Saccharomyces cerevisiae S288C: one gene and its partner. The main gene of each other region encodes a partner of the protein of the gene in region 2 in a complex. Each region holds a gene or a part of one and is shown on either strand. Other genes may lie near its edges. The genes, in order: DBF4 and MCM4. A codon is read from its position in the direction of its gene.

The links.
Region 1: the proteins of MCM4 (region 2) and DBF4 are in contact, whole or in part, in a cryo-EM structure (PDB 7PT6), measured with the Saccharomyces cerevisiae proteins. Residues at the interface, in NP_015344.1 of Saccharomyces cerevisiae: Leu177 (codon at 3,087), Arg178 (codon at 3,084), Ile179 (codon at 3,081), Ile180 (codon at 3,078), Trp181 (codon at 3,075), Asn184 (codon at 3,066), Ser186 (codon at 3,060), Ile187 (codon at 3,057), Gln188 (codon at 3,054), Thr192 (codon at 3,042), Arg195 (codon at 3,033), Asn196 (codon at 3,030), Met199 (codon at 3,021), Ser200 (codon at 3,018), Lys202 (codon at 3,012), Lys204 (codon at 3,006), Phe205 (codon at 3,003), Glu222 (codon at 2,952), Leu224 (codon at 2,946), Glu267 (codon at 2,817), Ser270 (codon at 2,808), Ile271 (codon at 2,805), Gln274 (codon at 2,796), Lys277 (codon at 2,787), Asp278 (codon at 2,784), Val281 (codon at 2,775), Ser282 (codon at 2,772), Val285 (codon at 2,763), Asp286 (codon at 2,760), Glu297 (codon at 2,727); in NP_010337.3 of Saccharomyces cerevisiae: Asp248 (codon at 2,187), Arg249 (codon at 2,184), Asp250 (codon at 2,181), Thr253 (codon at 2,172), Lys254 (codon at 2,169), Arg255 (codon at 2,166), Asp256 (codon at 2,163), Pro514 (codon at 1,389), Thr515 (codon at 1,386), Arg516 (codon at 1,383), Ala517 (codon at 1,380), Ser518 (codon at 1,377), Val519 (codon at 1,374), Met520 (codon at 1,371), Ser521 (codon at 1,368), Lys522 (codon at 1,365), Asn523 (codon at 1,362), Met524 (codon at 1,359), Leu527 (codon at 1,350), Arg529 (codon at 1,344), Leu530 (codon at 1,341), Met531 (codon at 1,338), Val532 (codon at 1,335), Asp533 (codon at 1,332), Arg534 (codon at 1,329), Leu536 (codon at 1,323), Gly537 (codon at 1,320), Val538 (codon at 1,317), Tyr660 (codon at 951), Cys664 (codon at 939).

What each region holds. Positions count from the first base shown.
Region 1 is NC_001136.10:557,698-562,290, forward strand, and holds DBF4 (protein serine/threonine kinase activating protein DBF4), read right to left. Parts: upstream 2,929-4,593; coding exon 814-2,928; downstream 1-813. Other genes in the region: acid phosphatase DET1, read right to left, coding at 1-363; SCF E2 ubiquitin-protein ligase catalytic subunit CDC34, read right to left, coding at 3,743-4,593. UniProt on the Saccharomyces cerevisiae protein: Regulatory subunit of the CDC7-DBF4 kinase, also called DBF4-dependent kinase (DDK), which is involved in cell cycle regulation of premitotic and premeiotic chromosome replication and in chromosome segregation.
Region 2 is NC_001148.4:595,081-600,364, reverse strand, and holds MCM4 (MCM DNA helicase complex subunit MCM4), read right to left. Parts: upstream 3,616-5,284; coding exon 814-3,615; downstream 1-813. Other genes in the region: ATP20 (F1F0 ATP synthase subunit g), read right to left, coding at 148-495; RLF2 (Rlf2p), read right to left, coding at 4,069-5,284. UniProt on the Saccharomyces cerevisiae protein: Acts as a component of the MCM2-7 complex (MCM complex) which is the putative replicative helicase essential for 'once per cell cycle' DNA replication initiation and elongation in eukaryotic cells.

The DNA of each region.
Region 1 (4,593 bases), on a different chromosome or scaffold from region 2:
ATAGGGTGATGTATAAAAAACTATGTTTGTGTCTTTTTCTCTACTCAGCCTGGTATAGTCCTTCAGCGGTAAAGTTCTCCTGCTACTTTCATCTTTAATATACTTCTTAGCCAAATCCTCCACCAAGTTGTGATCGTCTACGTTTAAAACACGTAATAAGTCAATACCAGCTTGTCTAGCTTGGATTTGACCTGTTTTCGTTAAAGAAATCAGATGGTTAGGAATATAACCATTGACCTCCTTGTTTTTATTTGATTCGCTTTCCCCATGCCTTATTAGTACAATTAACCTAGGTCTGGCATTCGTAAAAGAACCGTGACTGCCAGCAACATCTTCACTAACATGAACATTCTCTTCACACATTTCTTTTACTAATACTCTGAGTTATTCAAATGGAATGCTGTAGCGTAAGTTCTTTTATGTTGAACCATGAATACGAGCTGCAATTAATGCAGTTGAGAACTAGCTTTTTTTTTTTCATGCCTCTCGGTCTCTGCAGGATATCGGGTAAAAATGAAAACTGGGACATTAACCGCGGTGGGTACTCGATCATTATTTGTTCAGAATGAGTTATGATATGAACGGTAATTAATCTAGATGATAATATATATATGTATATGTATATATATGCAATTGATAATATATGGACGAGTAAATAAGAGTTAAGTCAATAGCAAGAAAGTAACAAGGGTGAATGAGAAAGTGATTCAATAACATTGCCGTTGATAGCTTTTTTGTTCCGAGCAGCAATGGAAACGGAACAATACTATTTTGATTTTATCACTAAAAGCTACTGCACTTTACGTCGTGTCCCTATATTTGAAATCTGAGATTTTCAATTAACGAGTCAATAGCCTCAAAATTTAAATCGTTTTCAGCGAAAGACAAATGCTTCTCAGAAACTATGTGTTGTTCTAAAGATTCGTATTTTACACGACAATTTTCACAGTATCCGGAATTTTTTACCGTTTCTTTCTTCACCGGCTGTGCTGTCTGTGCTGTCTGTGCGTTAAAATGTAAGGTGACGTTTGTGGAAGTTGATTTCTTCGATGCTGTTGGAGATTCTGTGGTTGTTATCTTGATGTCATTATGAACTTTGGAGTCTGCGGAGACTGATTTGGTAGCTACCTTAGGGAAATTCTGGGGCTTTCTATTAGTTTCTAAGTGTACAGCACTATCTTTGCCCGTCTCTTTCGAAGGGGCTTCGTCTTTTTTCAAAGCATTAAAATCTAATCTGTGTCTATTTTCCTTTGATGTTTCAGCAGTAGTTGCTATAGTGGCTGTATAATTTTTGTTATTTCCATTTGTCTGCTTTACTCCCAGCTTTCTATCAACCATTAGTCTACTTAATGACTTCATGTTCTTACTCATGACGCTTGCTCTTGTTGGGCCCAAACCATTGCCAAAAGAGGTTGCCACATCATTAGATTGATGTGCACCACTTGCTTTGATTTCAAATGCCTGACGTGACTTTGTTTTCAAAGTGCACAAATCATCCGGCACTTCTTCAGTTTCTTGCCTTGCAAAAGTAGCTAATACTGGATGGTTTAGTTTTGGTGTGGCAGCCAGCTCTTTTCGCTGTGGGTACTTATTCGATTCTTCTGCTATAGATTGTTTATTTTCTTTTTCTTCTTTCAACGGAGGCTCTTTGGTTTCAGTTTCATTTAATAATATACTATTTTTTTCATCGGTTTGGTCAGCATGTTCATTACGAACATCTTGAACTGCGCTATCATCCGTCTTCTTTAACTCGGTCTTCTCAAAATTTTTTGCCTTTTCTTGCATCCATTTTTTGAAGCTCTTGGTAGAATCGTTGCATGTGTGAGGTATGAATATTAGGTTTTTCGTTTGATCATTAACTGATGACGTATTCAGTAAGGTGTCGGCATGATATTGAAATAGAGCACGAAGTTGCAGTGCATATTTTTTGTTTGCTTTGTCTCTCGAGTATCTCTTTACTACGCGCTTATAAGAACTTTCGTCATAATTCCTATCCCCTATAAAAGGGCATCTTCCGAATGAACCTATTTTCAATATTGGGTAAGGTAGTTCGTCTAAGTTTGTTAGTTCTTGAGGTTTCCATTCCAAAGTTATTATGGGGGCCCAAGTTTGCCATAGGTCATAAAGGTATACATGAGGATATTTAAAGTAGTGAATATCGTCTCTTTTAGTTCTGGGGTCTCTATCCGTTGGTCCATATAATTTTTCATTGTGTAGAAGATTGGACAATGTGGGCGCAGCTAAAGAAGCAGATTTAGTCTTGCTCAAATGATCCAAATCAACATCAAGATTTTTCAGAAATCTGGCAGCCTTTTCGTAACTCCAAACTTTCATGTAGTTTTTTTTAGCTCTCGATAAAATGTCGGTATCTTTTAGTAAATATATGTTCTCAACAGACCTTCTTGTGATAACTATTGTGACAGTAGTGTCAAAAAATTGAGTTATTTGCGCACCCAATGTAAGAAACCCTCTTTTCAATAAATCTCTGCGTTTGTCCATCTTGGACTTATTATATGTATTCATCTCTACATCATCAGTAATGTCAAAGTAAATGCGAGAATCTCTTTTCATTATCTTTTTCCAATTTGTTTGCCATTCCAGCAATTCCTTAGGCGTAACCCTTGGCTCGACATTTTTCAGACCCGTACCTTTGCTGACTTGGACAGCGCCTTCAATAGACCTGGCCCTTTCTATTCTGGCCCTTTTCTTTTCATGCAAATGCTGCTGCTGTTGGAGCTCGAGGCGCTCAAGAGATCTTTTCTTCGGAAAGGATTCAGTGGTATTGTTATTGTTGCAATTATTGTCGTTAGAAAACACATTCAAGTGGCCCGCTGCTGTTGTTGATGCGGCAATTCCATTATTATGTTTCAAGTTGGTATCTGTTTCCTTTAACGGAGACCTTATTATCATTTTCGTTGGAGAAACCATTTTCTTCTTTCTTTTCTAAATATGAACCAAAAGCAGAATTCCAAATGCCTTTCAGATTCAAACCTTGAATTCTGAAGATAACTAGCCCTGCAAGCGAATTCAGATCTAAAGGAATCTACACCTGGCTGAGTATAGACTATGCAACTTGATTTTTGTTTTTCTTGGCCTGAGCCATTACCGTTATTATTATCGTTATTTCTTTATTTTTTTCTTTTTCGCAAAGATCGACCTAAGACGCGTTTGCAAAAAAAAAACCATTTACTTACTGCGGGTAAAATATTAAAAGAAACTTAGGCGTTAGCCAAGAACCGATAAGAAAATAAAAATAAAAAAGGTAATGAGGAATTAGATGCAAAGAGATATAGATATAAACACACACACACAAATATATATTTATATACATATGTATGGTGATATATATTCAAAAAAAAAAAGTACAGTAACTTAGAAACTATTAGTGGGACGGATTTGGTTTTCTTATTTCTTTCTTTTTAAAAAACTTTCTTAATATACACGTTTGTGGTTATAAGGTGGTGTAAAGTAATGTAATGATATACACTTTTTTTCTCAATTCTTTACCTTCTTCTTTCGTACGGTGTACTGCGAGAAGTAAAATGGGATGATGAATTAATTTTTCTAAATTTTTCTTCGACACTTAGTTATTTTCTTCTTCCCCTGTCAATCTCAGATTATCATAGGGAAAAATGTAAAGTGCTTTATCGACAACGTATCGCGTATGTATAAATTGATTCATGTTTTGCGTTTGAGCTGAATATGTTTTGTTAAATTTTGTCTTCTTTCTTACTGTTCTTTTTTATATTTTCTTTGAAACTCTTTCTACATCCTCCACATCTTCACTTTCATCTTCAGCCTTGTGGGGTTGTTTCCTATCCATGACGCTGTCGTTATCTATACTATCGTCGTCATCATCGTCATCATCTTCGAATTCGATTCTTTCGTCATCGTCGTCGTTGTCGTTATAGTTGTAAACGTCATCATCTTCAAAGGGGATATGGTTGTTTCCATCGTCGTAGTCGTCGTCTTGTAAAATGACGGACCCGTTCTCATCGTCGTCCAAATCACTATCATACCAAAAATTATCCGCCATATCCTTATTCGATTCTGGTTCATCTAGTTTACTTTGAGATATGTACGCCGATTCAGAAGTGGGCATTATGAAACCTTTAGGGATATCTTGTTTCGATCTTTCCACTTCCATTTTGACTCTTTGCTTGTATTGTTCAGGGTTCTTTCTGTAATCAACAGCGGCATCGACATTTGCTGGCGAGTTGATATTGGGGTCCTCTAATAGAGATACTATAGAGATCAACACACTTTCCACGGTCTGCACGGGGGACCACGTTTCAGCATCAGGTTCGTCGGTCATAGGATCCCCACTTTGATGTAAAATAGAAATACAAAGCCTGCCATCCCTGTAAACGTTTGGATGGTAGATAGCCGGCGTAAATCGAAACTGTGGTGGAGAAAAGGGAAAGTCTTCCGGAAATCTCATTTGAGCTTTGAAAAACCCTCCATGATAAATGGAATCCTCATTTAGCACCATAACACCTATGTTCCAAGTGAAAATATTTGAATCATCCTCTAGTTCTATATGAAATGAGGGAATAGCTTTCTTAGGATCAGTAAGTTCTCTATATTGCCGTA
Region 2 (5,284 bases):
TTTTAATGCCATTGTATGTCATGAAAAGAAAATAAATAGAATTGAGATGAATATATATTCTTTTTTCTAGTTTTGTTCTATTTGTACATTGATTTAATTTAATTAACGAATATACAAGGGTTTTGCGAATAGATAGAATTAAAAAGCTTAGTGATGTTTATATCCCACTAATTTTCTTCTTCCAATTATTTCACCGACAGAATAAAACCCTATCAACTGAATACCATATGCGCCATATTTTAATAGTTCATTCTTTTGGATGTTTTTTAAACACGATAAAACTTCTGTAGGCTTTAGAGCAAAGTTTAGGCTCTGCTTATAAAGGTTCGAATACACTGATTTGAACTGGGCAACAGTTGGTGGTTGAAGACCCTCTTTTAAATAAATCTGTTTTGAAATCTCGGCACCGACTTTACCATAGTATAAAGCCTTTGATGACAAAAGATTTGCTTTAGAAACCAACCCACTGGTATAATTTTGGATCCTGCTTAGCATGATGAATTGATTAGCGTTCTGAAATATGATTTATCGGCAGGTTTATCTTGTCGATTTGGACTGGAGTAGAAAATATGAGGGATCTTTGCATCTTCATTTTTCGGTCTTTAAATGTAATCATCCTTCGGGATAAATTTAGTGCGTTTAACAATATTTTCTTTCAGCCAATCAGGAATAAGAAAAAAGCCGCCCACTCAATCGAGCCTACATACAGTATTGAATAGTGTTACAAAGCATAAGGATGTAAAAAATACAAACTTGCTATAATTAATTAGTATTTATTAATTGTTACGCAGGGAATGATTGTAGTAGACAGCATCAGACACGGTTATTCAGGCGAACTGATCTCCTTACACCCTCGCCAAGGACAATGACCTTGTCCTCTTGTTGCAATCTTGACAAGGCTTCCTGGATATCAGAAGACTCAACTCTATCTTGAGAGTGTTCATTGATTTGTTTTATAAGCTCATTGAATGACATTGAGTCTGATGCCTGATCCTTCAAAACATTCATAATTTCCCTTGACAAATCCTCCTGTAGTTTTCTCTGAATAACTGATTTACCTGTTTGAACTAAATTCATGTCGATTTTACCGGTTTTAGGGTCTGTTGCATAATCTTTTATGGCTGATCTAATTAATCTAACGGCTTCTTGAACATCCTCCAGCTCTACGACGTTTTTCAATTTCATTTTGGCGTGCGCCTCAGCCAAACGAATCATACTTTCAAGTTGTCTTGTGGTAGCTGTGATTCTCTTCTCATCGGATCTCGAATCGTCACCCATCTTTCTCATTCCTACATAAGCACGAACAAGCTCAGTCTTAGCGGCCTCGGTGATTATTGGGTGTATGTGCTCCTTTGCATAACTAATATACATCGTTAAAAATTCAACTGGTAGCACGTCGTCTTGAGAAATATGTTCGGGCTTATCTTCCAGGTAAAGATTTGTTAAGTGTTTGGCTAGTTCTCTGTCATTTTTCTCATCAACCTTATCAAGGACAAGATAGACCAGATCGAATCTCGAAAGTAGTGGGGGCGGTAGATCAATATTTTCAGTCACAGGCAAATTGGGGTTGTAGCGTGAACCAATTGGGTTAGCACTGGCCAAAATAGAACTTCTGGCATTAAGTGTTGTGATAATTCCCGCTTTTGCGATTGAAATAGTCTGCTGTTCCATGACTTCGTGCAAGACGGACCTTGTAGAATCACTCATTTTATCAAACTCGTCAATACAACAAACACCTCCATCAGACAATACTAATGCACCACTTTCCAAAACAAGTTGTTTTGTGTCGACATCCCTTGTAATATAAGCAGTTAAACCAACGGCAGATGAACCTTTACCCGAAGTATACACACCACGAGGAGTAATTTTGTGAACGTATTGCAAAATTTGCGATTTGGAAGTAGAAGGATCCCCACAAAGTAAAATATTTATGTCACCTCTATAACGGCCACCCTTGGTAAAGGTTTTATTCGTGCCGCCAAATAGCTGAAGTAATATACCCTTCTTGACATCTTCTAGCTCGTAAATACTTGGGGCAATAGAGCGGGCTAATAAACTGTATAAATCTTCTCTTGCCGCAACCTCGCGAATTTTTGCTAAATCCTGATCAGTAATTTGTCTTACTTCTTCGACCTCGTTATGATCTACCTTGTTCTGCATTAATTCTTGTTCAATAGTAGAAGTATCGACGTCTAACCTCTTATCTGAAACTTTTTTAACGTGGACCACATCGACGTATGTTTTATACAACGACTTTAGTACGCGTTGCCTGGAATTAGCTCTAATGGGGATGGACCTGAACGTGCCAGTCACCTCAATACGATCGCCCGCCCTGCAAGAATCCACTAATTCATCGTAAACACATAATGAGATAGAGTGAGGCGTTTGTCCATCAGGCACAAAGTCTGGAGTTTCCTGTAACTTAATGACTTGTTTATCTGCGAATGAACACCTGTTGTGAATCAGTGACATGGAATTGGGTTCATTACAATCAATACGTTCACACCTAGCGGGCTCTTGTATAACTCCTCTATCAATTTCCACTGCCATTGTATGATCGCAGACGTTGCATTTGAAAAACGCTACCTTCATATCAGGGATAACCGGAGTTGATCTCAGGACAAGACCCTTTAAGTTTATCAATTTATCAATATCATTTGGATTCAATTCGCGCATACCTTTACAAGAACCTACATTGTAAGGCCTTACTTTATAAAACTTGGTCTCTATTTCATCTAAATCGTAATCCAAATTGTTGTCTACTATTAAGGAAACCATACAGTCCTTGATAGTTTGATCCATGATAGAAATCACTTCTTGAGGATAATTTAATAGTTGATGGTATAAGTCTTCTGTTTGCTTGTAAGCAAGTAAGTTTCTAGCATCCAAGTTTAAATTAGAGGTACCAAGTTCTCTCATTTCATTAAGCTGCTTGATATAGTATAGTTCTTCGTCGGTAGTATTGTTAATGAATTCCTCCCTTTCATCCAATATTTTACGGAATTTATACTTGAAAGACATCAAAAAATTACGAAAATTAGTTGTACATTCCTGGATACTGACGTTGGTACCCCAAATTATTCTCAAGGGTTCACTGGCTTCCGATGGAGGAGCAGAAGAAGAAGAAGTATCCAAAGTATTCACGCCGGATCTAGTATCAAAATCCACAATTCTTCTTGGAGAGGATAAATCAGATGTATGAATATCATTTCTTCGCATGTGTACACGGTTTTGACCATTACGGCCTAAAGAAGAGGAAGAAGTAGGCAGTGCTCTATCACTTCTCAGATCAGAATGATATCTAGACCTTCCAGAAGCGCTCGCAGAAGAACGAATTCTGCCCTGTCTGCCTTGAGATTGGAAAACATCGGAATTTTGTCTTTGGGAAGAAGATGGAAAATTTAGTGGAGAAGAACCTATAGCAGCTCTGATGTTTCCCTCTCCCTGACTTAAGTTCTGGCTATTGTTGCGACCATAGATATCACCTTGTGATGAAGAGGAGCTATAAAATAGAGCTGGGGAAGAAAGCTGTGGTGGAACAGAATCAGGATTAGGCACAACGGGGGAGCTGGAGTTATTATCCTCTTTTGTTGGAGAGCTAGACTGTTGAGACATTTTAAGTTCTTGAGGTTCAAAAGGATCCTAAGTTGGGCTCTACCAAGAGTAAAAATAACTGAAGATGGGTTGTCTTATTTAGTATTGAAGATGTTCTTAAAGAAATAAACAGTGCCAATGCGAAGTTGCTCTTCTGGTCTCTTCTTCTCTTTTCATTTTCGAGGCGGCGAACTAGCATTAAATTTCCCGAAAGAGTAAACCAAGTGTTTGCGTTTTCATGAATCTACTCGTAATATTCCAAAAAGAAGTGATATAAAACATGCAGTTGGCTGACACAGATAAATGTAGTTCAGCTTATATAGAAGATTTTCTTTTGTTGCATGCGAGAAGTGCTGGATTTTATTCAAAGTCCAAAAGGCTTGACTGTCGATCGTAGTGTTGTCGCCTTTTTCATGTATACCAATAAATAATCAGTTTATCTGTATGTTTCTATATACTAAAGATCCGTTCAAGTTACAAAGACGGGGTTGGCATATTTGCATTGGCTCGAAGATTCTCCCAGTTTTGTGCGTCTTTGATTACCCATTTGCGGGGCAAATCACCCTTTCCAGAACTTCTTATGGCATATTCCTTTATGGTGTTTTTAATTGTTTGTTTGTTGTATTGCGGCAAATTTTTCTGTGCTATTTCAGTCACAGTACCCAAAGAAAACGTGCTGTCTTGAACCCCATCAAAAAGTCGAAGTAAGTCCATGGGGTCTGTAATCATTGCTTTTTGTTTCTTTTCGGGACTTTGAGATTGGCTAGCGGTCTGTGCCTGTAAGTCGGAATTACTTCTTTTGGATGGTAGAGACGATGTTTTGGGTTCTTTGAATGGATCGATTGGCCCGTCGGTTTCTATGATAACTTCGGCCTTGAGTTGTTGTAAGTATCGTTTATTTTCCTCTGATAAGTTTTCAAAATTGGATTTTAGGCATATTGTTGGTATCAATGGGCCTACAAATTTTCTCTTGGCGCAGGGTAGGCCATCCAAATCACTGTTTTCTTCGCTGTCTAGAAACCCGTCAAACTCTCCTTCGCTAGGTACGTCTTCATCATCTTCCTCCTCCTCCTCCTCTTCACCACTTTCTAAGTTATCGACTTCGCCTTCTTCTTCTTCATTAACCCATTCAACGTCAGAATCGTAATCATAATTGAATCCAGTACCTTTCGTAGAAAAGGGATCGTTTGGTGGCAAAGTAAAGTCCATAGAATAGGTTCCGATAAACGGAGGTCTAACATTTTCGTAGAATTTTATATATTTGTGCGGAACTTGTGCAAGTAAAGATTGGAGCTCATCGTCTGTTTTCTCCTTCAAAGGCATTTGCTGTAGAACGTCAACAGCTTTACGTTTAATTTTATGTCCTCTAGGTAATCTTCTAGACTGTAACCAATTCAATAAGTCGTCACTACTTGTTTTATCTTTACTGTTCAGTAATTCATCATCTATTTTTCTTTTGCTACCTTCCAGCTCCACTTTTGTTAGTTTCCACTTATTACTGACTCTAACTCCATCTTTAGCATAGAAAGGTAGAAAAAATTTTTCATAATCCGACTTTTCAACCACAGGCGTATTAGAATCGCTTAGTTTTTTAAAGAAGTTACCAATACGGGATTGTGCTCTTTCCTTGGCTTCTTCTTTCAAACGTATTTCCTCCTCCTTTTTCAATCTTTCCTCCTCTTTTCTTCTT